Linked DNA regions of Lonchura striata. The protein of the gene in region 2 interacts with the protein of the main gene of each other region in a biochemical or structural test. Links are inferred from orthologs where the notes say so. Each region holds a gene or a part of one and is shown on either strand. Other genes may lie near its edges. The genes, in order: CRHR1, MAGI1, NET1 and FCHSD2.

Region 1 (6,924 bases), on a different chromosome or scaffold from region 2:
CCAGAATAAAACCATGGAGTTTTTCCCAACCACAAACCACTGTGATCTGTTTGATGGGAAATGCCAACTGCTGATTGGGAAATTTCAGTTGACTTTGCTTTGAATGAGAAAAATAATAATTATGACTTTTATTATGATCAGTTTAGCATTCTGCCTTGAGGTTTAATTAGCTGAAGAACAAAAGCTTTTGTGTTTCTGTTATATTCAAAACTGACACATCCTCCCAAAAGCAATTTGAAAAACATGGCAAACACTTTTGAGAAACTTGGGAAGCAAATGAGAAATTCAGTTAGATCCCAAATCTTTGTGGGTTTCCTTGAGTTTGCAGTTGCCATGTTTTTGTAAATGTGGGATCTCCTATTAATGCACACAGTGTGGGAATTAAAAATGGCAGGGGGGATTTATCCGTGTAAATGAAAGAATCAGTCACTTGCTGCATGGAGCAATGAGTCAGAGTAAACCCAGCTCCATGTGTCTGAGTTTTCCTTCTCCCAGCAGGACACTAGTTTGTCTTCCTGCATGGACTCTTCTGCATCTCCAGCAGAGTTTGACGGGACGAACAGGGGTCTGAAGTGTCCAGAGGCCACCCAAGCATTTGCAAGGCCTTCAAGAAAATCTGCCAGCACAGCTCTAAGGTAATACTCACTGAATGAGGTTGGTAACAATCTTTGGTTTCTTTCCCTGCAATGTTTTCAGCAGGGCTGTGGCTTGAGCTTTCCTGCTCTTCGTTTCAGAGCACCTGAGATTTGCAGGGGTGAAGCAGGTGATACAGAGTGGTCAAATACAACAGGGATACTCAAATATGAGGCATGATTATACTATGTGGTAAGCAGGAATGAGAGGAACCTCATCCCAGCAGCTACTTTCTTTAGTCAGGCAGAGTTTGAGAGAGTGTTCCCCTCACTGCAGGTCTAGGAGGAGGGAAAAGGACACAGGACAGAAAACCTGGAAACTAATTTTAAAAGCGGGGCAAAAAACAAGTCTCCTGGGAGAAACAATGTGGTGGGTTGGATTTTTTCTTGGCCTGCAGTTGCTAACACAGCCCCATGTGCTGACAGCCTGTCCTCCCCTGAGCAGTGCCCCGAGCATTCCCAGCTGCACTCAACCTCCTGGGAAAGAAACAGTCCCAACACACAGGTGGGGAAATTGAGGCACACTGCTGATCTCAGCTGGGATTTCAGCTGAGAAGCTAAACCTCACCTTTCCACCAAACTGGCCTAAATGTCCAGGACACTGAGGATTATTTTCTCCTACAGATGTCCTAGCTGGAAGCAAAGCCCTGCTACCAGTGCTCCATGGGAGAAGCAAGGATGCATTTCCCTGCACCCTTTCAGTGCACGGAACAGTCCCAGTCTCATCCCTATACTGCAGGAGGGACACATGGAGTTTTCCCAAACCAGGTGAAGGTTGGCTGCAGGGACAGGGTGGGAGCAGGGCAGTGGTGTAAGTCCTGCAAACAGCCCCAAAGTGCAGCTGTCATGGAGCTGCTCAGACACAGGACTGTCAAACCACATGGAGTTACATAAAATAATAGTTTACCAAAGGCAGGTAAGTCAGACTCAATCTCTCCCTCCTTCCTAGATATCCGATATTTCTCTTCATTGTCTCCATCCCTAAAAGCCATATCCAACATCTGTCTCTGCACTGCATCGAGAAGTTTGAGATTAACCGTGACAAATGGACTGATTTCTGTGTCTCAGGGACTGTTCTATTTTTCCTTTGCCACATCTGACAAGTTGCATTTTACTATAAATCCCCTCAATTAGGTGCTTTAAACAACACTGCAGCCTTTTCCCTGATATATGGGGAAGGAATTATTTTCATGTCCCTGGCAACCAATTCCTTAACTAAAAATAGTGCTCACTTCTGCCTTCCTTGCATCACCTCATACTTAGGGCACCTGAGCAGAGCATGGCCATCCTACATGTCCTTCTTGCTGGCCATGGGCAGGCTGAGATGATGAAAGACAATCCTTGGTCTTGGTGTGGGAATAAGGTCTCTTGTGCTTCCCATTGCAAGGTCCCTTCTGTCCCCTGGGTGCACAAAGCCCTGAGCAGCCTCCAAAACCAGAGTGTGTTTTGTGACCAGGAACTGTGCCCTAGACCTGTGATGGTAGAAGGTGTCCCATGGCAGGGGTTTGGAACTACATGATCTCCCAATTCAAACAATTCCATGATCCTGTGATGCCCTCAGCTGAATCCAGGATGCTCAAAATTATTTGGAGCAAGCTTTCTCAAGCCATTTGTAGAAAATTATGCATTTTCCATGGGCTTATTGAAGTGAGAGGTAACACAAGGGTGGCTCTGGAGTCTGTCTCATCCCATACTTGTCACAGGAGGGATGTTAAGATATCTCAGAAACAAAAGTTTGCTGAATTTACCAGAGATTTAAATATTTTCATATTTCTTTGTCAAAGCAGTGACACAATTGATTTAACCCAGCTAACGCCAAAAGATTTATGTCTGTGTTGTTTATTCCCCTTAATTACTGGGCCAGGAGCATTTACCCTTTGGGGGCCAGGATGGGTCACTAGGTGCCCCCACATGCTGGGACACAGCCCTGCTCAGTACTTGTGCCTTGGTCCTGCAGCTGCAGGTGCTCCAGAGACAAAGAGCAGCTCAGTAAAGATGGATAGAGGCTGTGGCCGTGAATTCATCAAGAGACTCTGCCCTTCTATTGATTTATCTGCAACCTGCTGTGGTCTGCAGCCATTCCCAGAGGCAGAGCCTGCAGCTGGGAGCACAATCCAGCACCCTGTGAGAGGCTGGTGGTAGATGAAGCGTCATCAGCTAAGGGAAATATCACACCCCTAGATGGTGGTCCCATGGCAATATTTTCCAGCATCCCCCCTCCCAGCAGTACACCTCATTGATCCTTATTTCCTCAAGGAAAGAAGGAAGCAACAATCTGTTGCCTGGCTGTCTGCCCCAGCTCACCTCAGGCTGATGGAGCTGGGCTCACTCCCAGGATACGCAGAGCACCCACAGTGGGACACCCCCCTAAACCTCAGTGAGTACAGAAGGCATGCTCTGAAACTGCCCTGGCATGGGGGAGCAGGTTTAACCCAGCCTACCAACTCAGGGATGGACACAATCCTGACCATATCAACCCCGGGACACAGGGGTGTGTGGAATCCCTCCCCAGGAGACCAGGAGATGGCTGCCAGGGAACTGCAGGAGCTGAGACACAGAGGTGTGACAGGAGACCCTTTAAAGCCAGAGGGTTATGCTAGGCGAGAAGGGACATATCATTATGCAAGACCTCAGGAGCATCATCCAGGCTCTCCCACACCACTGTTCCCCACCCTTCCCCCCCTTCTCTATCAGTTCAAACCCCACCTGCTCCTGTCCCATCACCTCTGCCCCTGCCACCAACCCAGCTTACGGGACAAAGCACGGTGCTAGCAGCACCTCCACTTCCTCCGGGTCCACCCTTGTGATCAAACATCCCTCGCACAGTCCCGCTGTGTGGAAGACCCGAGTCCACCTGCCCCACATCCCTGTTCTTCCCTCAGGAGCCTCTCCCTCGCAAGGCAGGGCTGAAACCCCTTCCACCCCATCCCTGTGGAAGAGAAAAGGGGCTCTGCCCTCCTTTCGTGCTCACCATCCGTTTTGCAAAGGGGCTGCAAAGGCTGACGGGGGGGACCTGGGAGAAACTGGGACACTTGTCCCAGTTCCTCTGACAGAGCCCTGGAGCGAAATCCCCAAATGTGTAACACCCGCTCATCCCCTCATCCCCGGCAAATGCAGCCCCAAAGCCTTCGCAGACACAAAAGAAGCCGCCAGGCTCCACAGGAGGGACCCCACAGCGTCTGCACGATGGGAGTGAGAGGGGTGGAGAGGAGAAACCCCCTCCAAGGAGAGGCGGGAGGGCGGTCCCTGGGCCGGTGGGAAGTTTCTGCTGCTGAAGATGCTGAGGGAGGGAAGGAGAAAAGGGGGGCGGGGGGGGAGAAATCAAATACAGTTGGAAGGCACCAGGGAGGTGGAGGAAGGAAAAGGGGAGGAGGAAGAGGAGGAGGAGGGAGAGAAGGGGGAGTGGGAGGCTGGTGAGGAGGGATGTAGCCCATCGCCAGGCGAGCTGGAAGGTGGGCAGCCGGAGGACCGGCTCCGAGGAGGTTATAAAAGGCAGGACCGGGACGCAGAAGGACCCGCAGCCTCCGCGCAGCCCTGCGGGACCCGCCAGGCTCCTTCGCTGGAAGCCCAGAGGATTGTCTCCCCGACGGCAGGAGCAGCCCGGCAGGAGCGGGGACGCTGCCGGCCATGCCCCGGGGAGCTGGGCGCAGGGGCAGCTGAGGATGGTGCCCAGCCTACGTCCTGCCCTCCTCCTCCTGCAGGTAAGATGCTTTAAGTCCTCTTCTCCCATAAGGGCCCTTCTGCCCCGTCCCCATCACCCCTACGCCGTGCATCGCCCGCGTTCTCCGCAGTGACTTTTCAATTTCTTTGACGGGAAAAGTAGGAAGAGAAACCGCAACACAAAGGGCCCTCGGGAGAATTCCTCCAGTCGAGGCACTGGGGTTTAGCAAGATCTCGTGATGCTCAAAGACTATCGGGGAGGGGGGCTGAAGTGAGTGAAAGGATCATTTAAAGGGGGGGAGAATCGCAGCCAGGTCCTCCTGAACTCACCCCAGGGCTCCCAGTAACTCCCAGCCTTGCACCTCCCAGTGAAAACAGCTGCCACCAGTTTCCCAGGCTGCTGGGAGCGGGTGGCCACTCTGGGCGTGTGGTGGATGTGGACAGTGCAAATGCACAGTCCAGTTGTACCTCCCATAATTAATTTTCTAAGGAACCCTCTCCTTTACTGCCCTGCACCTGCAAAGCACAACACTTTTTCTCTCTAATTTGCTTGCTGTGGAACTGTAGCCACTGCTAATTTTGCAGCTCTGCACAATATGCAAATGCTTTGTCAGAAGCAATATTCCTCCTCCTTGAGGGCTCATCAAGGAGGGAAACATTAACAGCCCCAAAGCTTGTTTAAATCCCAAGCCATGGACAAACAAGATGAAGGGTCTCCCAGTGAAATCTTGAATTTTATTTGAACAAGCCTAGAGTGGCAGTTAAACAAATTGATCAGGTTTCTGATAAAACCTCTGTGTCAAGGAGGGGTAAAAGAACAAATCTGCCTGACTGGCTGCAGAATGGTGTCTCAGTGGCCCAGCTGGGACTGCAGAGTTAAAACAGCAGGTAAAGTGGAGGGAGAGCTCTCCCCATTGTCACCACTACGGCTTGTACCCTGCAGGCTGTGCACCCCACTGTTCACTCCAATGCGTATCTCACATGTCAGCTGCACCTCTGGGCCAGGAAAGTTCTTACCTAAATGATGAAAAGAGCTGATGAGCACCAGGAGACCTCCTGCCTAGTTGGTGTTGCTTCTAAAAACTCTTCTGAGCAGCTGCTCTCTCTTATTGCTGTAACCCACTAAGCCTGATTGATAGGGTTTATGGGAGCTATTTTGCTGTTACTTTCCCTGGTTCAGGTTTTGTTGGGCTCTGATGTAAGAAATAAAGCTGACACAGGGCAGGATCTTTTCCCCCAGCCCAGGTCCTTCTTGGCCAGTCTAGCACAGACCCAGTGCAGTAAGATCATGTTCTGGTGGGGAGAGCCACGTGAACATGACAGCTCCTAATAACTTCGGTGAGCAAAAAGTGGTACAAAAGAAGCCCAGAGGTGCTGATACACAGCTTCCATCCTCTGTCAAAGCTCCTTAGGCTCAGGGGGACTCCCTTGCCATCCCCAGGTGTTCCCCAAGGATATTCTCCTTGTGAAGGTGGAGCAGCAAATCTTCACAAACCTTCCAGATTCTGAGACAAAACCATCCCTGCACTCTGGCTGGGACCAGGAGAGAGGGGTCAGAAAAACCAGACCAGACAAAGAGAAGCCTCTCCAGCTGGCTCCAAAAAGAAACAGCCAATCTACAACTACCCCCCCCCACCCCCACTTTGCAGTCAAGCTGTCTATTTTTCCTTATAAATACATGCATTCAAATCTCAGATGTTTTTCCAGAACAGTCCTAACCCTCTCTTGGGGACAGCATGAACTAAAGGACCATGAAACTCCAGCCATGAGTGCATCCCTGCAGCCAGGTATAGCTGCAGCAGCATCCTGCCTGTGAGTGCAGAGACCTGCAGCAGCCCAGCTCCAACCCAGAGCTCAGCAGGGACAAACCTCCCCTGCAGATACTGGGTTGGCACAGTTTAGGCGTTCCCCGTGCACCTGGTTTGTACCTCCACTTTAGCATCAGTTTGCCCATGTTGCTTTACTGAATAGACATCCCTCAGGATGTCGGACAGACAGACTAGGAGATAGGCAGCCAAACTTGCTGCCAAACTTGCTGCCAAGTGCTCCCTGGCACCCTTGCAAGTCATTGAAACAAACTAAAAAAGTGATTAAAAATAAACCAGTCCACTTGCATCTCTGTCAGGAGCCAATGACATTTCTGTGGCTGATAGAACTGCAAAGTGTTTTATGAAAAATCAGGGATTGATGATTTGGTTTCACTTGACCACCTCCAGCAGCAATAAGCCCAAAAACAACCCCTGCTCCTTCCATGCTTGAATCCTTGCATAAAATGCAGAGCTGCAGTTGCAGGACATGCTGACCCTGGGGATCTCTTCCAGTCCTTGCTTTCCTTAAAAGCTGGAGTTGATTCAGTGTGTATGAAATCATCCCTGTGGTTCTGCATCTCCAGCAAAGAAGTGAATGGAAAAGGCACAGCCTGTTCCCAGAATAGCTGCACTATCACCACAGGATGTATAGGAATACAATGAGAATATCCTGCACCACCAGCTCAACCCTGCCCTGAAATCCAGCTCTGCTCCCAAAATCCTGCACAGGGTTAGCCTAGAAGTTCATTGTGAGTGACAAGCTCAAGCTGCAATTGAGTCTGCAGTGCTTAGAGAGGCTGCATCCATGGATTTGTCTGTGAGAA
Region 2 (7,445 bases):
CATGAAGTCCCACTAAGGGGTGAATTTCCTTTTTCTTCCCAGCATCCTGTGGTCACATTCACTTTGAGCCAGCAGCCCTGGATGGAGCTCCAGCCACCCTGCTGCAAGAGGCTGGAAATGCCCTACACAGGGGCTGCATTTTGGGATGGACTTTGCTGGCCCAGCTCTGTCCCTGAGCAGGACCTGTCTGTGCTGGCTGGTCAGTAGCTTTCACCAGAGCTTCTCATGTCCTGACACTTGGAAGGTTTGCTGTAAATACAGGGTTTGTTCAGTACCTGGAGCTGGGTTATCTGCTGAAATGTTTGCCAGGGCCAGGACTCAAAGCAGCACCAGCCCATCTCCTCCTTGCTACCAGAGAGCAGCACCAGCCTGTTGAGAAAGCCTGGATGCTGCGAAGAAAATTCTCCTCCAGTAAAAGTTAAGTGGGATTAATATAAAAAAATTCTTGTTTGGGAAATAACCACAATACATGGCTTTTCTACTAACATATTCTGGTAGTGTGAGTGTGCCCACAGGAAACTTCAATCAATGTTTGAGAGACTGGATCTTGTTTAAAAACTTTCTCTTTTTTTTTTTTTTTTTTTTTTTTTCCAGGATTTATATGCTGAGGTCTTCAAAGCCTTGAGGCCCATGATATCAAAGGTTTGGGGTTTATCTGGAAATTAACAGTAATTCTGCTGTATTAAATAAGCTGTACTTTCATTTGTACTCTTAATCATTGTCATCTTTATGCTCTCTGGTGGGAGTACATGGCTGTGAACTGCCATAAACCCACAACATTCTCAGTGACTAGACATGGTTTTCCATTCCAAAAAAAGTCAAACTGTGGTTTCCTCAAGTTTCAGTAGGAAAGCTGAGAGAATGAGTTGATGCATGGGAGAGCTTTGACCCATTTTAGAATCCAGGACACAGCACGAAATTTCAGAGACGTTTGAGACCAAGACCATGGGTCAGTATCCTATTTGAAAGAACCATTTGAGCTGTTGTATGTTTGTAGCAGGGCCCAAAGCATGCAGAGCACCTGCTGAAGGAGGAAGAAAGCAGCAGCCTTCTCATCCTGACAAATTAGCAGCTGCCAATGCATGGGTTGGAGTGGCTGTAGAAAAAAGAGTAAGGGAATCAGGCTCTGGTTAAAGGCCTGAGCCCACCCAAGTCAGTTTTCACAGCGCTGTCCTGGGCTGTGGGCTGGTGAAGAGCATGCAGACCTGCATGAGATGAGGCTGGACCAGCTGCTGCAGGTGAAGTAGGATGGCTGCAGTGAGCCATTCTCAGATGAGGAGTGTGCCCTGAGCTTCTCCCTGCCCCATGTTCATGTTCAGCTGTTCCCCAGGTGGGTGTGTCTGAAGATTCCTTAATTACTCTTTGTGAAGTGCTTAGAGACCCTCACAAAAAGGAGAGTGTCATTATGAGAACTGCAGTTGTCAGAGATGAAGACAGTCTGTTAATCATTAAATCCATCCCCTGCAAAGCAGGACCACTGTCCCTGGGAGAGAGGCCAAGCTCTGCAATGAGAGGCAGTGCCAGGTTTGTATGCAGTAATCACCCAATTATCCATCAGCTGGTGTCAGGGACCCTTCTGGGCAGGAGCAGCCAGGCTCAGTTCTGTTAAAGGCTGACCAAGAGCTTCCTTTAATAGAGGTGGTTGGAGCAGCTGTGCCCTGAAATAATCTCCTTGCAGCAGTAAGGTGCAGTACAGTCACACAGCAATCAGGACAACAAAAAACCTTGGCTGTATTTGAGCTGATATAAGCAGTGCCAGCTTCCAGATTGACCACCTGGATGCAACAAGGTGATAAAATGGTAGAAAAGTGGTCCAGGATAAAAATTGAAGTGAAAATCTGAAAATCAAGATGAAGTTCTGGCTGAGAGTTGCCGGTTTTGTTAATTGTCAGCAAGAACAATTTTGGGAACACAGTGGCCCAGACATGGGTACAGTGTTAGGATTACAATGGGGACAGCTCACTTTCATTACAGTTGCAGTGTTTGTAAGCAAACTGAAAAGGGCCCTTGGAAGTCTGTCATCTCATAAATTTTACTATCAAAACTTGTTTTTCCAAACAGTCTTTTCCAAAAATTTTTCCATGAGGCATGAGTAGTTCCGTAAGATCTATTCAGGGCAACCACAGCTCATGTGATGTTCACATGGAACCCAGATGATTTTTAGCTTAGCAGGGCTGTCACATAAGACATCCTGCAAAATGATGATGAAAATACGTCACACCCAGCTCTGGGCTGTGAACAAGGGGCTCCCTGCACCATGAGCTCACGTGTGTGACACAACTATCACCCAGTGCACAGATGAAAGAGAAAGCCTTCCCCACAAGCTATGCTGCTGTTCTGTAGGGTCTACAGACCTCTGGAGCATTTCTTGCCCAGGGGATCCAGCCTGATGACCTATCCACTCTTTACTGGTGAAGGCACAGTAAAAAGCGTGCTGTCATCCTAAAAGTGACAAATGGGGCAGCTGGTTACTGAGCCAGCAAAAGCAGATGTGAGGCAGTTACTGCTGCTCAAACATAAGGGATCAGCACAGCTTTAAGGATGAAAACATATATGAAAGTTCCAAATGGAAAGAAACCTCTTGGAAGCAAGTGAGGGCTAGACACAGCAGGTACACTGAACTTCACGAGTCCACTTCTACCCGGGAAGGCAGGCTCTGCCTCTCGGTTGGAAGGACTTTCCTGAGCTCTGTAATCCCATCTGCTTCCCGTGGGCAGAGGTGCCTGAGGCACAGGGGATGGAGCGGGGTCACTGCTGTGCTGTGTGACACTGGCCGAGCCTTCCATTCCCGTGCCGGGATGTGGCTGCGCCACTCGGGCCGGGGACTGCGCTCCCGCGGCGGCAGAGCAGCGTCCGCAGCGATGGAGTTCTACAGGACAGCCAGATGAGGGATTGCAGCTGGGGAAAGGAGCATGGAATGCAGGAGGTGAGGGAAGCACAGGCGTCCCAGCTCCATCCGGGACAGGTGCGAGGGCAGGGAAAGAATCCCGGTCACCTCTGAGCTCTGTGCGCTGAGCCGGCTGATCAGCTGGGCCAGCATCAGACGATGTTAGGCTGAGCTGTTTCCCCACGCAGCGATGCTCCCCGAGCCTGCCGCCCCTCCCGCATCCCGGATCTCCGCGGGACACGCTCGGCTGGGGGGATGAGCGATGAAAGAGCGAGGCGGGCAGCAGTGAAAGTCTGCGGGCTGTGCTGTCTGAGCACACATCAGTGCAGCACAGGCAGCCAGACCAGACTCTTTGTTTCCCTGTGTCACTCCTCAGTCCCGATTAGCGGCAAAATAGGGCACGCACACGTCTGACAAGTGAATTCCGCGCTGGAAGGGGTTCGGTCATGCATAAGACTGCTGGAAATGAGGCCTGGCTTTCAGGTTTGGAAGCATGGAGCATGACCTGGAAGGGACAGCTGGTACGTGCACTCTTACTTTCCCGTTTTGAGTTTTGCACCAGTTCTGGGTAACTTTGAAGAGTTTTGGCGAAGGACAAACAAATGGATGCCCATCCCTTTCTCCAGCAGCCAGACCTCGCTATTAGTCTGTCCCAGCTTCTAAACAACGAGGACAGGACAATGTGAAAACATTATTAATGTCTCAAATTCGAGCACTCAATCAAAAACCGGAGTGCAGAACTAAGAGTAGGAGAGACTCACTCAGCCTCGCGCAAGCACTTTGATACCATTTTAATGATGGGCTTGTGCAAGTTTCTCCTCGGGATTTGTATTTGCGTCCTCTCCTGTAACAACCACCTGGAAAGCGCAGGTAAGAAGTGGTTTGCAACTGGGAAAATCCTAGAAATCCTCTCGGGAAAGCAAAGATCTGCCGTCCCCTGCAATATGAGCATCCCCGGGGGCGCGGGGCAGAGCACCCGCGCTCCGGCCCGGCTCGGAGAACGAGGATTCCAGGCGGGGGGCTCCCCCTCGGCGCGGCCCGAGGGGCCCGGCGGCCGCTTCCCCCCGCGGGGAAGTTGTGCGCGGGAGCGGGCGGAGCCGGGGCCGCCGGCCGGGCCGTGCCGGGGGCGGGGAGCGGGCGGGGGCCGGGCCGTGCCGGGGCGGGCCGTGCCAGGGCGCCTGCGCCGGCGGCGCGGAGCGCGGCGGAGCGGGACGGACCGAACTGGAACAAAACAAACGCCGCTTTGTATCGCCCCAAAGGCTCCGCGCCCCGCGCAGCGCCCGCGGAGAGGGGGCGGCAACACCGCGCGGCTGCCGGATTTGCTTTTTCGGCGCTTTTGAATAATTTTTAATTTTAATTTTTTTTTTTTCTTAATAAGAGGGGAGAAGGGACGGCGCGGAGGGGCGGGCGGGGGGCGGTGCGCGCCCTCCGCGGGCGCGGAGCCGTGCGGGCGGTGATGGCCTGAGCGGGCGGCGGGTCCGCGCCCCCTGCGCACCTGCCGAGCGCGCTCCGCGGGCGCGGAGGGACGCGCAGCGCCATGTCGCGGGTCGTGCAGAAGAAGAACCACTGGTCCAGCCGGGTGCGGCAGTGCGCGCTGACCCGCGGGCCCGGCGGGCAGCTGGGCTTCGCCCTGCTCGGCGGCGCGGAGCACGGCGAGTTCCCGTACGCGGGCGCGGCGGCGGGGGACGGCGAGGCGGCGCTGAGCGAGGGCGAGCTGCTGCTGGAGGTGCAGGGGGTCCGCGTGTCGGGGCTGCCGCGCTACGACGTGCTGGAAGTGATCCGGAGCTGCAAGGACCCCGTCGTGGTGAAAGCCGTCCGACAAGGTGCGAGGGGGACGAGGGGGGACCCGCGGCGCTGGGTGGCCGGGGGTGGCGAGCATCAGCCCCTCGGGGCGGACGGAGCCGCGGGTGCCGGTGCACCCACGCGTGTGCGCAGCTTCTGCGAGGGCACTGATGCACAGGCACCTCCTCGTCCGGAGCCGGCTGCAGCCGCCCCGCAGTCCCTGCCCTGCGCTAAGCGCAGCGAGCAATTGCGTGAGACTTTCCCAAAGGCGCCGCGGAGCTGCCGGCGCTCCCTGCGGGAACCCCGCGCTTGTCCGGGGGAGCTCGGTGTCCGGCTGACCCTTGGAGAGGCTGAGGGAGCTTCACTGCTGGGGGAATGGGGAGGGATCCCCTCCTCCAGCAGCTGAGCATCCTTTGGAGCTGCTGAGCTTGTTCCGAAAGTGCAGCGTGTGTTTGCCGGCTGCCAGCGTGGGAAGAAAAAGCTTGGACCCTCCTGCATCTTCCCTCTCTGGCTGAAAGGCTACTCGGATTTACCTTTCTTCCCCCTGGTTTACCCTAGGTGAGGGCACATCCGTGCTGCCAGCCCTGCAGCGCACAGGGGAAGGAACAGATAGGTAGCTCTCCTGTTTGGCTGAGGAAGAGGATAGGAAGAGTGCTCCCATGCTGGATTTAAAAGATGCCACTCCACATCCGTGTACACTCCACAGTCGCTCAACAGGTTAGCTAACAGGCCTGGCTAATGGGTTTGTGATTTCCAGGACAGGACTTCAATGTAGTGCCAAAAAGCTGTTGGTGCTGCGGCAGCCACCGAGGCTGGTTGGACCAGGAGGAGCAGGACTGCAGCTGGACAGCCGGAGCTGTGAGAGCTGCAGGAGCTCCCCGAGGTCAGCTCCAAGTGCAGGAAGGAAGGGAAGTTTTCTTCGTGTTGCCCGAGAGATTCCTTAGGGGAAAGTTTGTCATCCAGACGTGTGCATCCTAAAGGTGGGGGTTTCGCTCTGGCTTGTGGTGCGAGGGGTTTTTTTCCCTGTACTTCGTTCAACCCAGCTGGTAGCTGCAGACAGAATTTCTGGCCAGCTGGCAGGACTGTCACCTGAAGTCTTGTCCCTGGGCTCACGGGTGAGCTGAGATGAAGGGCTGCAGGCACTTGTTTCATCCCTGGAACCTCCGGAGCGAGCAGATGACAGCGATGGAGTCGGAGAGGAGCTGAGGCTGAGCACTGCCCTCCACCACCTGCCCGGAGCTGAGCCACCAAAGCACAGCGATTTGTTAGTCCCTTGCAGGACTCAGCAGCAACATTCCAGCAAACGCTGTCAAACTTCCAAAATACCCAGTTTTTCTTAAAAAAATGCCTGTTTTCCCTGCTGCCTTCACTCCACTGGGAAGTGGTGAGGGAAACTCAGCCTGCTGGTTTCCCTGCCCAAGCAGGAGGGGGAGAAAAGCATGAAGAAAAGTATGAGGAAATTAGGCAGAGGTTTTTTTACATACTGATTGTTTTAGCAGAAGTATTAAAGTACAGCTTGTGGTGTTGCAATGTGATCTGTGTTTGTGGAAGGAAGGTGTGTGTAAAACCCTTCCCAACCAAACAATTTGTGATCAAACTTTTTGCTGTTTTGGAAACATGAGTTAGTATAAATAAAACATGTCCTGGGAATAAACTGCACATGGCAGAACTTGGTGGTAAATGTGTCTCTGCTCCAGGATATGGTCAAAAGAACGGGCAGAGAGCTGAGTTTTAGTGTGTTGGTTGGGTTTACCTGGAAAGTGGGAGAAAAGGGTTCAAAAGGGTTGTAAGTCAGGGCAGGCACTTAAACCTTGGACTATTCCCATCTAGAGCTGAGAACCAAGCCCTTGGTTACTGTGGGATTGTAGTTTCTTTTTTTTTTTTTTTTCTTTCTCCATATTTTTAAGAAATAGTTTATTAGCCAAGAATGTGGAATATAAATAAATATTTGGTTTTTAAATCTCTAAACATTTTTGTGGTCTGGAAAACCTGTCAATGGTAGCCTGGCATCTGCACGCTGCTCTGTGCAAAGCAGGGATCTCCCTCATGTATCAGAATTATAAGCATAGAAAAGGAGAGTATTTTAATTAAAATTCATTACTTCTGTGTTGATTAAAAATCTGATTATGGCAATGGCAACTGTCAATCAACAGGAAAAGTGTGGCACTAGAGCAGACAGCCAAGGAGTGTGCAGATAAGATTGTAAACAAGTTTTTAACTATGATTTTCCTCCTCCGAGTTTGTAGTTTCTAACTGATTGGTGCTGAAGTGCTGGGGCAATATTAGCCTGGAAATGTATACATTTTATTGCCTGTCTGTTTTGTATGACATTTACAAGGCTGGAAAAACAGGAAATTTACTATAAGTCACTCCTTTGCAAGCATGAGCAGGAAAATAACGGTTCTGACCTTGCTGTTGGTGAAAGAGACTAGGATGGAAATGTAGGTTGAATAGGCTGTGCATGGACTTTATCATTAAACCAGAGTATGTAAAATTACAGGTTCACGTACAACATTTTCTTCTTGCTTTTGTGAGTGGTAAGTTTAAAAAATAAGTGCAAAAAGGAGGAACCTCTATGAAATCTCTTAATGGAAATACTGGTGTTTAATACTGGACATATGGGATTTCTTGGTCCTTTGCTTACCCTGGGAGGAAGAGTGAAGAAGGTTAAAGAACTTGAATGGAGCTTTCCCTTCCTTTTCCCCTTATGCTCCCTTTTTTGCTTTGACATTTGAGAATAAAGCTGTGCCATTATAGTTGCCTGTTTTGGGGCAGA
Region 3 (7,269 bases), on a different chromosome or scaffold from region 2:
ATGGATGTTTGGTGTTTATCTCCATCCCTTGGGATGGGTTTGTGATCATCTCCATCCCTTGGGATGGGTTTGTGCTCATCTCCATCCCTTGGGATGGATGTTTGGTGTTTATCTCCATCCCTTGGATGGGTTTATGATCATCTCCATCCCTTGGGATGGATGTTTGGTGTTTATCTCCATCCCTTGAGATGGGTTTATGATCATCTCCATCCCTTGGGATGGATGTTTGGTGTTTATCTCCATCCCTTGGGATGGATGTTTGGTGTTTATCTCCATCCCTTGGATGGATTTGTGATCATGTCCATCCCTTGGGATGGATGTTTGGTGTTTATCTCCATCCCTTGGACGGGTTTATGGTGCTCATCTCCATCCCTTGGGATGGATGTTTGGTGTTTATCTCCATGCCTTGGGTGGATTTGTGATCATCTCCATCCCTTGGGATGGATGTTTGGTGCTCATCTCCATCCCTTGGGATGGATGTTTGGTGTTTATCTCCATCCCTTGGGATGGATGTTTGGTGTTTATCTCCATCCCTTGGGTGGGTTTATGGCGCTCATCTCCATCCCTTGGGATGGATGTTTGGTGCTCATCTCCATCCCTTGGGATGGATGTTTGGTGTTTATCTCCATGCCTTGGGTGGATTTGTGATCATCTCCATCCCTTGGGATGGATGTTTGGTGTTTATCTCCATCCCTTGAGATGGGTTTATGATCATCTCCATCCCTTGGGATGGATGTTTGGTGTTTATCTCCATCCCTTGGGATGGATGTTTGGTGTTTATCTCCATCCCTTGGATGGATTTGTGATCATGTCCATCCCTTGGGATGGATGTTTGGTGTTTATCTCCATCCCTTGGACGGGTTTATGGTGCTCATCTCCATCCCTTGGGATGGATGTTTGGTGTTTATCTCCATGCCTTGGGTGGATTTGTGATCATCTCCATCCCTTGGGATGGATGTTTGGTGCTCATCTCCATCCCTTGGGATGGATGTTTGGTGTTTATCTCCATCCCTTGGGATGGATGTTTGGTGTTTATCTCCATCCCTTGGGTGGGTTTATGGCGCTCATCTCCATCCCTTGGGATGGATGTTTGGTGTTTATCTCCATCCCTTGGGATGGATGTTTGGTGTTTATCTCCATGCCTTGGATGGGTTTATGGTGCTCATCTCCATCCCTTGGGATGGATGTTTGGTGTTTATCTCCATCCCTTGGGATGGATGTTTGGTGTTTATCTCCATCCCTTGGGTGGGTTTATGGTGCTCATCTCCATCCCTTGGGATGGATGTTTGGTGTTTATCTCCATCCCTTGGGTGGGTTTATGGCGCTCATCTCCACCGCTCAGGACAGATTTTCCCCAAAACTGTCATTGATGACCTGTAGAGATCCACCTGCCCCCCAGACACCATCCCACCCCGGAGTGGCCCGGCTCCTGGGCGCGTTGGTGGCTCCCAGGCCCTCTCCAAAGGCAGGGCACGTCCCAGGACACCAACCCCTCTGCCTGGCCCCACCATCCAGGAGCGTGTCACCCTCACCTGCCCAGGTGTCACCACAGAGCCAGGGATCACCGAGGACAGCTCAACCCCGCGCCACCAAGTGCCACCAAGTGCCACCAAGTGCCACCAAGCTGCTGGGGTGGCAGCAGGAGGAGCTTTGGCACCCGGGGACACAGCAGGAGAACTCCCGAACCTTCGGCCTGAGTTTGACACGGCTCGGAGCTCGGGTTTTAGGAGAAATTTTAACCTCTAAAAAAACATCGATTCGAGGGAGGGCTCGTCTGCTCTTTGGGGTTAAAAATAGCGGATTTCGGTAATTCAGGAAAGCGTTTTTGTGTCCGGAAGAGTCAGTCCGTCCTTTCAGCAAGTGCAGACTCGGTGGATCCTGAATTTCTGGGAGTCCTCCATGTCCCAGCAGTGCATGGCAGAGGTTAAGTGGCTGCAGATTTGCTGAGAGAAGCAAACAAAGCCAAAAATGAGAAATCCAGGGGAGGGGACAGCAGGATTTTCCTTTTTCTCTTCCTCCTGACTCTGAAAACAAAAAATAAATAAAAAATCGCTGTTTGCAAACCTCCTGCTGGAACCCAGCCCAAATTTCTCCCCTTGAAGCGGCAGCTTGGTCAGCACAGGTAGGCAGCCAAATCAAGTTTATTTTTACCAGCACAAGCAAGCTTTTATTTCAGAGGTTTGCAGCAGTGCCAGGAATAAAAGGACTTGAGCAAACAAACAGAAAATAGAAAATCCAAACCCTTTGCAGCTCCAGCCAGGCCTGCCGAGACAGGCTCCCCTGGGAGACGGGGGGAGAGGCTCAGCCCAGCCCCAGAGCTGTGCCAGCACAGCTTTAAAGCTCAGAGCACACTTAAAAGCACAGGTCTAGACACGAATTATTATTATTTTTTTAAAAAACATTTTGCAGCAGCAAAGGTTTTATATACTCCAGCGTTGGCAAGGAGAGCTGCTGTTAAAAGGAGGTTGTCCCGCCAGGCTGGAAGTGCCAGGAAAAAAACGCTAAAAATGAGGGGGGGAAAAAAATCAAAGATATGCTTGGCTTTGTGGGATGGGACAGAGTCTTTGCCCTCCTTGCAGCAGAGTCTCCTGGTGCCGTTTTTCACAGAATCCCGGGATGGGTGAGGCTGGAAAGGAGCCCAGGGGGTGACGGTGCCACTCATCCCAGGGCACAGGGCAGGGTCCGGTGCCTCGGGAATGTCCCCAGGGAGGGACTCGGGCCCTGCCCAGGGCAGAAGTTCTGCCCCTCACTTTGGGAAGGACATTGAGAGCTCAGCACATCCCGAGGGAGAGGGGCTGAGGGAGCTGGGGGTGCTCAGCCTGGAGAAAAGGAGACTCAGGGCTGGCCCCATCGCTCCCACAGCTCCTGGAAGGTGCCTGTGCCCAGCTGGGCTGGGGCTCTGGCTCCAGGCAGCCCTGACACAACCAGAGCACACAGCCTCAAGCTGTGCCCAGGGAAATTCAGGTGGGAGAGCAGGAAAAAGCTTTTCCAGAAAGGTGATGAAGCTCTGGGATGGCTGCCCGGGGAGGTGGTGGAGTCACCAGGCCTGGATGTGTTTGAAAAGCCTGGATGTGGCACTGGGTGCCAGGATCTCGATGCTCCTGGAGCTCTCTCCCAGCTCAGTCATTCTGTGAGTTCTGCCCCACATCCAGGGGAATTCCTGGGCTCAGCCCCTGCCCGTTCCCCTGGTGCCAGCGCTGGGCCCGGAGCAGAGCTGCTCCATCCTCTGGAAGCTCCCTGTGGATGTGGATCCCCATGGATGGGATCCCTCAGCCATGTCCCCTCTGCCCCTCCTGGGCACGGAGATGCTGCAAGCCCTGAGCCATCCCCACATCCCTCCTGTCCTGAGCAGCCACAGCTGCACGCAGCACTCAGAGGAACGAGCAGGAGCATTTTTTTGGGGGGAGAGGTTTTTTTGGGAGAATTCCACACGAATTTGGGGCTCCGGGAGGGTCCGCAGTGCCGCGGGGGGCGTGGCTTTGGCATTGATGGACGTGGTTTTGGTGTTGAGGGGGCGTGGCTTTGTTATTGAGGGGCGTGGTTTAGTGTGGAGGGGGCGTGGCTTTGGCATTGATGGACGTGGTTTTGGTGTTGAGGGGGCGTGGCTTTGTTATTGAGGGGCGTGGTTTAGTGTTGAGGGGGCGTGGCTTTGGCATTGATTGACGTGTTTAGTGTGGAGGGGGCGTGGCTTTGGCGTTGAGGGACGTGGTTTTACGTGGAGGGGGCGTGGCTTTGGCATTTATGGACGTGTTATAGTGTGGAGGGGGCGTGGCTTTGGCATTGATTGACGTGGTTTAGTGTGGAGGGGGCGTGGCTTTGACATTGATTTGCGTTGCTTTGGTATTGAGGGGTGTGGTTTAGTGTGGAGGGGCGTGGCTTTGGCATTGATTGTTGTTGTGGAGGGGGCGTGGCTTTGGCGTTGAGGGGCGTGGTTTAGTGTGGAGGGGGCGTGGCTTTGGCATTGATGGACGTGGATTAGTGTGGAGGGGGCGTGGTTTTGGCCTTGATGGACGTGGTTTAGTGTGGAGGGGGCGTGGCCTTGGCATTGATTGACGTGGTTTCGTGTGGGGGGGGGCTTTGGCATTGACGTGGTTTAGTGTGGAGGGGGCGTGGCTTTGGCATTGATTGACGTGGTTTAGCGTGAAGGGGGCGTGGCTTAGCGCGGAGGGGTCAATGCTTTGCCATTGAGGGGGCGTGGCCTTTGTCGCTGAGGGGGCGTGGCTCGCCGCGGTGGCCCCGCCCCCCGCGGTGACCCCCGGGCCGCGGCGCGCGCCGCGCGCAGAGCGCGATGAGCGCGGGCTGAGGGCGGGTCGGGCGCTGCCGCGGCCATGGTGGCGCACGACGAGCTCGGCGGGCTGCTGCCCATCAAAAGGACTATCCGCGTCATCGACGCGCAGAACCAGCACTTCAGGGAGCAGGAGGTGAGCGGGACGGGGCTGCAGAGGGGCGGGAATGGGAGAGTGGGGAGGGGGAGCCCCCTCAGCTTCGCGCCTGAGGGGAGGGGGCGAGGCGGGCAGAGCGCGGGGCAGCCAGCGGTTCAAAAAACTATCTCTACATATCCATGTTGAACTCCATCTCTGTGTATACTTATATTTTATGTGGCTGGCTTTATTTATTTATTTATTTATTCGGTATGGTTAAGCTCACAGCCCCCAAAGACTGGGACCAGGCATTATTTATTTATTTATTTATTTATTCGGTATGGTTAAGCTCACAGCCCCCAATGACTGGGACCAGGCAGCCAGAACCATATTTATTTATTTATTTGTTTGTTTATTTATTTATTTATTTATTCGGTATGGTTAAGCTCACAGCCCCCAATGACTGGGACCAGGCAGCCAGAACCATATTTATTTATTTATTTGTTTGTTTATTTATTTATTTATTTATTCGGTATGGTTAAGCTCACAGCCCCCAAAGACTGGGACCAGGCAGCCAGAACTTTATTTATTTGTTTGTTTATTTATTTATTTATTTATTTATTTATTCGGTATGGTTAAGCTCACAGCCCCCAAAGACTGGGACCAGGCAGCCAGAACTTTATTTATTTATTTATTTATTTATTTATTCGATATGGTTAAGCTCACAGCCCCCAAAGACTGGGACCAGGCAGCCAGAACTTTATTTATTTATTTATTTATTTATTTATTTATTTATTTATTCGGTATGGTTAAGCTCACAGCCCCCAAAGACTGGGACCAGGCAGCCAGAACCTTATTTATTTATTTATTTATTTATTTATTTATTTATTGGGTATGGTTAAGCTCACAGCCCCCAAAGACTGGGACCAGGCAGCCAGAACCGTGTTTGTTTGTTTGTTTGTTTGTTTATTTATTTATTTAATTAATTATTGTTTCGGTATGGTTAAGCTCACAGCCCCCAAAGACTGGGACCAGGCAGCCAGAACCGTGTTTGTTTGTTTATTTATTTATTTAATTAATTAATTAATTAATTATTGTTTCGGTATGGTTAAGCTCACAGCCCCCAGTGACTGGGACCAGGCGTCGGTGCCTCACCCGGCGATTTATAAACTGTATATATGTTTAAATCCATGTATATGTCCGTATCTTTTTATATGCATATGTATACACTTTGTACACATATATATACGTTACAGATATATAGATAGATAGGTATATGTATATATTTAAGCTCACAGCCCCCAAAGCCTGAGCCAAAACCAATCTCGGTGTCTCACCTGACCCCGCTCCCCCCCAGGTGCCTTTTCATTAAAAATTCGCCTGTTTTCATTTGGAAATCGCCTCTTTCCATTAAAAAGTCGCTCGCCTCTCAGCGCTCTTTCCACTGACAGGATTTTTCTTAATTAGGTGCTGTTTGTTTTGCTGCTTAAACCTTCGCAAAAGCCCTGGTGGGGTTTGCGGGGCTGGTTTGTTGGATGGCAGTATTGTTGTTTTTATGGCGTGGCGTTATTGCAGGTGGCAATAATTGCGACAGGAGCAAAAGTTCAGCAGCCAGGTAGGGCCCGGCTGCCTTGGGCTGGGTTTATTGCTCAGCTTAGTGGCGAGATGAGGTGGAAAAGTTTAAAAAAAAAAAAAAAGAAAGAAAAAAAAGGCGTTTCCAGACATGCTGAGGTTCGAGGGCTCAGCGCCGAGTCACCAACCTCAGCAAATCCCGGCTTGGCGACAGCCAAACTTGGGCAATCTCATTGTGCAAAAGGGAAACCAGATGTTGGGGGAGAAATAACAGAAAGCAGAGCTCTGGGCTGGGGAGTCAATCGCCTCGAATTGTGAATTCTGAAAGGGAGCCAACACCTCTGTCCGAGCCGCAGTCCACTCGGGAATGGGCTGTTGGGTTTGGGAAAGGTCTGATGGTTCAGCCTGAGGCTCGGCAAGCCCCCGTGCCATGGAGGTGGTCAGGTGGTCGGTGATTTCTGGCAGGAATTATTCAGGCTGCTGACTAAAATGCCATTTTTGCTGAATTGGCTGGGTAGGAAAACTTTTCGTCACGCGTGGTTTTGCCATTGCTCACCGTGTTTGTGTGGGGCTGGTGTGAACTGTGTGCCGCACGTAGGAATTGCACTCGAGCAAGGGATCCTTGTAAAAACCACTAATTATTACCCACTATTATAACCACTTAATTATTACCCAGCACAGGGGAAAGGTTGTGGGCGTGCTGCCGGAGAGAAAAAAAAAAATATCCTTGCTCAAAAGTACAGCCCGGTTTTCTTTCCAGCAAGGTGCAATCTTTTCATGAGTTAACCTGCACTTAGAAGCACTTGAAGGGATTTCAGGGGTGTGAAATCTCTCCTGGCACGAAAATAGCTTTTGTGGATGTATTAATTCACTTTAAATAAAGAGTTCTCTGGAAAAAACCATATTTCCTGATGGAGCTGTTGACCCCGCTGGGCTTTTAATAATTTGCGAGTGCTGTAACACCCGTGGATTGTTTCAGAAACCTCCCAGACTTTATTGTAATCTGGCTCCTGTGAGGCGTGGAGACAGGAGAGTCATTGTTTGCCAGTACAGAGCTATAAAAAAGCCCCTCCTGAGCCCGAGTTATCCGCAGCATGAGCCCGTGACCCCGGGCTGAAGCGCAGAGCTCAGCCGAGGGCAGCTTCCAGCACAGGGGGTTGATTTTCCTCCTCCCTGCTCTGGATCAAACCACCTTCAGCAGGACAAAAACCACCAGATGGGGTTTTTTTTTTATTTTTTTTTGGCAGTCGGGCCGTGTCTGAGGAGCGCTCAGGCACAAAGCGGGAATTTAGTTATTATTATTTTTTTTTCTCCTCTTTTAAGAGAGGGGAAAATG
Region 4 (7,245 bases), on a different chromosome or scaffold from region 2:
CGCTGAGGTGTCACCTGTCCCCTTGCCGCGGCTGTAGGAGCGGTGTGATCCGCATCCCCATGGCACCCCCGCGTGGGGAAAGCCTGGAGCCTGAGTTTTCCTCTGCGTGGAGGCCTTGAAGAAAGGCTGGGAACACCTTGCTCAGTGCCACCATCAGCTTCGAAAGCCTGGAAGAAACACACAGAACAGAATTGTGGATGTCAGATAATGCCAAACTCAATTTTTGGCTTTACGTGCTCCTGGGAGTGGTTGGGAACATTATGGAGATTATGGTTAATTATTTCAGATAATTTTATACTTTATTTTTTATTTGTTATACTTTTATTCACTTTTTGATTTTCCTTTTTTCCCCATTATTTTATTCTTATCTATATATGATATTTGATGAATTTTCCAATATAAATGAATTTATGAGTCTATGTGCATGTCTCTCTCAATCATTATATCCACTAAGCTTTTTATTACTTATATATTCATTTAAATATCAAATAAATTCTTATACATTCATATATATCCACACACAATACAAAATAAATATTCCTATACAAGAGAGCTGGGGAGGGACATTGAACAAGGGAGGGAGGGACAGGATAAGGGGGAATGGCTTTCCACTGACAGAGGAAATAGATGGGATATTGGGAAGGAATTCTTGGCTATGAGGGTGGTGAGGCCCTGGCACAGGGTGCCCAGAGAAATTGTGGATCCCTGGAAGTGTCCAAGGCTGGGTTGGACATTGGGGCTTGGAGCAGCCTGGGGTAATGGAAGGTGTCCCTACCCACTGCAGGGATGGAATGAGATTTTTTTTTTTTAAGGATGTTCCAACTAAGCCATTCTGGGATTCTATGACATTCCTAACCATTCATATTAGCTACAATTAAATATCATACATTTCACATAAAAAGCTGATTTCTCCAGAGGAAGCTGCTGTGCTGCAGGAGAGACCCCTCCATGGTCTCTACTGGTGAGCAAACCCTTCTGCCAGGGGTGTTCCTGCCAGCCCTGTGGGCAAAATCCACGGCTGGAGAAGTGGCTGTGCCAAGGCTCTGGCAGCGGAGCTGCCTCGCGCGTTAATCACGGGCCCAGCGCGGGTTCCAGCTTGCCAGATTCCACTCGGAAGCGCGTCCTGGCAGCTGAGAACCCTCCAACACATCGTGGGTTTGTGCTTGAAAAGGTTTAAACCCCTGCAGGGATTAAATTCAGATGTGAAGAATGAACAGGCCTGACGGGACAGCGCAGCAGCTGCTTGGGAGCTGGGATCCAACAAGTTGTCTTTGCCTGAGGATGGGAACCAAGGGAACTCTGCTCCCTAAAGGTCCTCTCCAAATTTTGCTTTTATGGCTAAATTCTTCTTTATTTTCCTTTTATTTTTATTCTGGATGAGGGAATAAGCGGCTGTTTTCAGCTGTGGGTTGTCACCATCAGCTGGAATTTGGCTTTTGGGGTTTCCAGCCTTGATGCCTCATCTCTGTTGGGGTTCCCTGAGAGGTGTGTATTGCTCTGGGGCTGTATTCTGCACCCTCCTTCATATAAAATGAAATGAAATGAAATGAAATGAAATGAAATGAAATGAAATGAAATGAAATGAAATGAAATAGAATGAAATAAAAAGAAATGAAATTAAACAGAATTAAATTAAATGAAACAAGATAAAATAAAGGTCAATAAAATATAAAATAATAAGTGGTCCAGTGGAAGGTGTTTCTGGCCATGGCATGGGATGGAACTGGATGATCCATAAGAGTCCTTTCCAACCCAAACCATTCTGGAATTCCATGAGACTCAACTGCCTTCAGGTCCTGCATTCCGAAAGGAGAAATCAAGGGATAAGGGCTCAGCCTAAGCTGGATTCCATTTATGCTGTGAAAACAAGTATTTTGATAAAATATACAACACTTAGACACTTATACTATTGACTTTTTGATAATCTTTATTTCACATCCTTGTTTTCCCCTATTATCAGCACTATTATTAAGATGTGGAAGAGCCATGGGCAGCTACAAGAGGCAGTTCCATCAGGATTTATCATCCCAGATGTAAAATCCTCCAGGATTCATGCCGAACCTGCAGCACTCCATGAGTCAGGCTTCAGGGAATCTGTGGTCAAACAGATAAAACATAATTATTCATGGAAGAATACAAGCAAATAGTGGAAAAACAAATGCATCATAAGGGAGGATGATACATCTGCGTGTAGGCCCGGTACCTAAAGTAATTCTCAGTCCAGCATGCAGGAGTCTGGGCATGATTTTTTAAAAGCCTGGGCAAATGGAAGGTGTCCTTGCCCATGGCAGGGGGGTGGAACTGGATGGGCTTTAAGGTCCCTTTCAGCCCAAACCATTTCATGATTCCATGAAGGGCTGCATACACAGATCCCATCCCCTTGCAGCCCTAAAAAGGAGATGAAATATTTTTTCACAGCATCTGCTGCTGCACCAGGTCTCAGCAACCATTTCAAGCTTCCCGCGGAGAAAGCGTTAAGGACTAATTAGCAGCACTAAATAAACTAATAGCTGGAGGGGGAAGCAGAATTCAAGTTGCATTTTAGTTTTAAAGGTGGTTAAAGCATCTTTAAAGGCAAGGGGTCATTTTCTGGGAGCTGGAGCAAAGCATCTCATCAATAATGAAGGAGTTGGTGATGGAGCTGCGGCACGCTGGAGCACTTGGGAAAATACAATTATGGGAATTGCCTGACGCTCTGCAAACTGCCCCAGAATTTGCTTAAGAGAAACAGCCAAATGCATGTTAATATTTCAAAGATTTCGTAGCAGCAGAACTAATAAGCAATGGCCAGGAATTTCAGTGCTGCAGAGGGGGGTTAAAACCCAAAAGTACTTCTGATCAGGGGTGTTTAATTCACGCTCAGTGAAACATGACAGAGCTGGGAGCGTCACTTCTGCCTCCTGGGCTCTCTGCATCTGCAATGCTGAAGAGTTCAGCTTTGTTTTATTTTATTTTCCTCTGCTTAAAACCAACCCCGTGCAAAAGCTCGTGTCTGGGTGCTCTGCTTCCCAGAGTGCTGCCCTTGGGATGCACCCGGATCTGGGATTCTCCATCAAGGGATTCTCCAGCTGCTGTCAGGGGGTGATGCTCCCTCATGTGCTTCAGCTCAAGTCCAGCCCTTGCTGCCCAGCTTTGTTAGAGCAGCCTGGAAAGTGCTGGGGAGAAGGGGATGGCTGCTTTGTGCCAGGGAGAACCCCAGATTTCCACCAGCTGTGTCCTACACACCAATCCCGGTGTGTGGATCCTGCACTGGATAGTGCTTTGGAGGGCATTGCACCCTTTTGGGAACCTCCTTGTACCCCTGAGCACCCCAACAGCATCCAGACCACTCCCTGTGCACCCCCCTTCACTGCCCCATGCACAGCCTGCACCCTCCCTGTGCAAACACCCTCACCTTTGTGCAGCCCTTGTGCAAACCCCAAACCCTTCGTGTGCCCCCTTCTGCTAAACCCCAAACCCTTCGTGTGCCTCCTTCTGCTAAACCCCAAACCCTTCGTGTGCCCCCCTGTGCAAACCCCAAACCCTTCGTGTGCCTCCTTCTGCTAAACCCCAGACCCTTCGTGTGCCCCCTTGTCCACCCCCTACACAGCCCCGCACCCTCACTGTGCCCCCGCACACACCCCCTTGTGCACACCCCACTGTGCACACACGCACACCCCGCAGCCCCCGCACACACCCCCTTGTGCACACCCCACTGTGCACACACGCACACCCCGCAGCCCCCGCACACACCCCCTTGTGCACACCCCAAGCCCCCATCGCGTCCCCACGGCGCCCCCTCCCCTCAGGCCGCCGCCCCCGTGGCGCCCCCCCGCGGCCGCCGCGCGCGCCGGGGGCGTTCCCGCCCCGCCCCTGGCCATGGCGGCCGCCGGGGGCTGTGCAGGCCCCGGGGCGGCCGCTGGGGGGCGCGCGCGGCCGCCGCGCGCCTCTCGCTGCGTCGGGTTTGGTTTGGGTTGGTTTTTGGTTTTGTTTTCTTTTTTTGTTGTTGTTGTTTTCTTTTTTTCCCTTTCTTTCTTTCTTTTTTTTTTTTTTTTTCCTCTTTCCTTCCTCCTTTTATTTCTCCGCCACCACATCTTTTCCCGAAGTCTCTCCCCGCTCTCCCTCCGTCGCCTCCTTCCCCTCGCCGCTCCCCAGCGCCGGGACGCGGCTCCGCTGCCCGCAAGGAAGAGGCGGCCTCCCCCCACCGTCCCTCCCCGCCTCCCTCCCTTCCCTCCCCGCTCCTCCCGCCAACCGGGACTCGCCCCGAACCGGGAGGGAGACGGTCGCTCCCCGCTCCTCCTCCTGCTGCTGCTCCTCCTCCTGCAGCGGGGGCCGCATCCTGCTGCCGGGGGGAGGGAATTGATGTGGATGCCCAGCGCAGCACCAGCACCATGCAGCCGCCGCCGAGGAAGGTGAGACCCCCGCCCGGCGCAGGGGGCTGTTTGCGGAGGGGCCGGGGCGGCCGAGCGGTGGTTGCGGCGTGGGGCGGGGTGCTTTGGGCTGCGGGGGGATTCGGGGGTCCGAGGCCGCGGGGAGGGGGCGCAGGGTGGGCTGTGCGGCGGGGGAGGCTGCGGGAAGCTTCGGAGAGGGAGCGCGAGTGTTGGGAAGGGAGCGGGGGGCTCGGCGGAGAGCTGGGGGCCGGGGGGGCTTTGGCGAGGGTGGCCGTGCAAGGTGGGTCGTGGGGGGATGTCGGGGGGCGCTGGGGACCGGGCACGGAGGGGCGGGATGGGTTGGGAGCGAGCTGCGGAGGTAGGACAGGGCAGGGATGGGGACGCGCCGGTGAGGATGGAGGTGCAGGGGGGCTTGGGGACCCCCCTCTGCAGAAGGGAGACGGAGGGCAGGGAGGGGTGAGCGGCTGCGGAGGGCTCGGCTGCACGGGGGCGTGGAGGTCGTGCTGCCTGCGGGGTGCTCCCACGGGAATTTTGGGGGCTCCCGCGGTGCGTCGGTGCCAGCAACGAGGGGTTGGTTGTCTTGGGGAAGGAGGTCACGTCTGGAGTTGATCCAGGGACGCAGCCTGTCCCGGCGTGTGCCAGGAGCACACAGGAGCAGGGGCAGGCGGAATTGTGCAGCATTTCCACGCGCGTTCCCACGTGCGATGGGGAACAACATGCCGATGCTCCGGGGAGGCTCTTCGGTGACCCTGCGGTCCCTGGCAATGTGGGCTGCTGCCCGGCGGGGGGACTGGTGCGGGAGCGGAGGCAAGCGGGAATGGAAATTTGGGATAGAGGATGTGCCCGCTGTGCCTTGTCTGGCTGGGCAGGTTGGTATCTGGGAGACCTGAGCTGCCTTGAGTTGCTCCGGGGTGATTTTTGGGCACGTTCTGGGGGTTGCGCGGAATGTGGGGCTGCAGGGAGAAGGCAGAGCTGCAGAGGATGGAGAGGCTGCTGCTGTGCGGGCAGGGGTTCCGTGGGGCTGAGACCTGTGCCTGTTCCATGTCCGCGGTCCTGCCCGCTTGGGGATGCTCTGGCTGTGATGGTTGCAGCCCCGTGGAGATTTTCGGTGGGATTTCTCTGTGGGGACAGTTCTGCTCCTGGCAAAGCCCTGCAACAGTGACCAGGAGAGGAGGGAACATGAACAGGATTCCCTTGTCATGCCCAGAGCTCCCCAGTAGCCCTGGCAGGCAGCTGCAATGAAGGTCTCTCATTCCTGCTTCTCAGCCTCTTATTTTAGGAGCAGACTCTGATTTTGTCAAACAAAACCAATTTCATTTCAATTATTTCAATTTTAGTTTATTTATTTTACATGTTTGTCGTTCTTTGCCTGTACTATTTCATTTGCGATTATTTCCATTACCTGGTTTGTGTCGTGTGGATTTATTTATTTTGAGTTGGGCTTTTTTTTAATACACAGATAAAACCAAAAATGCTGAAAGTTCACATTAAAAATAGACATTTTTTTCTGCTTAAAGTCAGAGACATACATGTGATTTATTTTTCTGGTGTCATGTGAAAAATTTGTCTTTATGTGATGTTGTCATTAAAGGGTGCTTGTTGCTGAGGCATGGTTTTCAGAGTTAAAATAGAGAAGCTGATGAGATTCAGGATTTCTTTTTTTTTGCCTGGCTAGTGAAGAAGAGTGAGATGGGTGCCCTCTTCCTCTGTTAATTTCTCATCCCTCTGCAGTAATGGTTTGGCACTTCTATCCTCATGAATTCATAATGTCTTCAGAGATATTTGTGGTCATTTTTTAGGCCGATATGTGGATTCCCTGTGATCACTAGAGGGCTTAAATATCAAGACCTCTTGTTTAATAAAAAAACAAGAACAAAACAATTCCAAGGTTACCTTCCAAAACCAAATCCTATACCTGTGCCATTGGTGCTCCTTGCCAGTTACCAAGCAGGTTCCCAAAGTATTGGAATTTTGGATGATCCCAAAGTATTGGAATTTTGATCACAAGGCTCAAAGGAAAACTACAGTAGTACTAAAAATGTAAAGCCAGCCTTCTGAAGCCTTTCCCAGTTTGTTTGTTTGTTTTCTTATTGAAATGTGACTTAAACTACAGGAAATGTAAGTGATCCTTGGGCTTGTTTGTTTCTTTTCTTGTTGAAATGTGACTGGAACTGCAGAAAATATAAGTGGTCCTTGAATTTGTTTGGTTTTTTTGTAGGTAAAAGTTACACAAGAGCTGAAAAACGTTCAGGTTGAGCAGATGACAAAACTTCAGGCCAAGCATCAGGCAGAATGTGACCTACTGGAAGATATCAGGTAAGGCTACAGAAAATGTTACCAAAATTCCTTTAAGGTCCAGTTTTTGGAAGAACATTTGAGTTACAAAATTCAGGAACTGACGATGGAATTTCCTCTTTGGATTTCCTGCTTTTAGGCTGTTAAAGTTTTGACACAGCTGGAAATTATAACTGGAGCTAACACAATGCAAACCCTTTTTTTTTTCTTTTCTTCAATGGGGGAAATGTTAAAAGAAACTCACAAACAACAATCCAGAAAGCATTGGTCTTTTCAGCAATATTTATTTATATAATATACTGAGACTTTGATTTACCAGTTGTAAAAGGCTGCTAAAATTACTAAAATATTTTAAAGCCACTGATAATTTATGTCTCTCTAGAGATAGCTTTGAAAATCACTTTCAAGCAGATTGCATTTTTTACCAGAAAGTTACAAGAAGATATTTGCATTTATAATTTAAAACTCTGAATGGGTTCAAAACAATAGAGAAAATCCACACAACATCAGTTGTGGGGGTTTTATTATTTCTTTTACCTAATATGATTTGATTCTCCTGAAATTAAAGGTTTGCTTTTAA

The links.
Region 1: the proteins of MAGI1 (region 2) and CRHR1 form a complex in vitro, tested with the Homo sapiens proteins (2 studies listed by BioGRID and IntAct, with this or other methods). The link is inferred for Lonchura striata from reciprocal best matches to the Homo sapiens genes MAGI1 and CRHR1.
Region 3: the proteins of MAGI1 (region 2) and NET1 form a complex in vitro, tested with the Homo sapiens proteins (3 studies listed by BioGRID and IntAct, with this or other methods). The link is inferred for Lonchura striata from reciprocal best matches to the Homo sapiens genes MAGI1 and NET1.
Region 4: the proteins of MAGI1 (region 2) and FCHSD2 form a complex in vitro, tested with the Homo sapiens proteins (2 studies listed by BioGRID and IntAct, with this or other methods). The link is inferred for Lonchura striata from reciprocal best matches to the Homo sapiens genes MAGI1 and FCHSD2.

What each region holds. Positions count from the first base shown.
Region 1 is NC_134627.1:1,368,973-1,375,896, reverse strand, and holds the start of CRHR1 (corticotropin-releasing factor receptor 1), read left to right. Parts: upstream 1-3,917; 5' UTR 3,918-4,294; coding exon 4,295-4,333; intron 4,334-6,924.
Region 2 is NC_134614.1:18,543,240-18,550,684, reverse strand, and holds the start of MAGI1 (membrane-associated guanylate kinase, WW and PDZ domain-containing protein 1), read left to right. Parts: upstream 1-4,424; coding exon 4,425-4,710; intron 4,711-7,445. UniProt on the Homo sapiens protein: Plays a role in coupling actin fibers to cell junctions in endothelial cells, via its interaction with AMOTL2 and CDH5. May regulate acid-induced ASIC3 currents by modulating its expression at the cell surface.
Region 3 is NC_134607.1:71,735,442-71,742,710, forward strand, and holds the start of NET1 (neuroepithelial cell-transforming gene 1 protein), read left to right. Parts: upstream 1-4,250; 5' UTR 4,251-4,328; coding exon 4,329-4,421; intron 4,422-7,269. UniProt on the Homo sapiens protein: Acts as a guanine nucleotide exchange factor (GEF) for RhoA GTPase. May be involved in activation of the SAPK/JNK pathway Stimulates genotoxic stress-induced RHOB activity in breast cancer cells leading to their cell death.
Region 4 is NC_134604.1:18,202,749-18,209,993, reverse strand, and holds the start of FCHSD2 (F-BAR and double SH3 domains protein 2), read left to right. Parts: upstream 1-4,236; 5' UTR 4,237-4,370; coding exon 4,371-4,391; intron 4,392-6,588; coding exon 6,589-6,686; intron 6,687-7,245. UniProt on the Homo sapiens protein: Adapter protein that plays a role in endocytosis via clathrin-coated pits. Contributes to the internalization of cell surface receptors, such as integrin ITGB1 and transferrin receptor.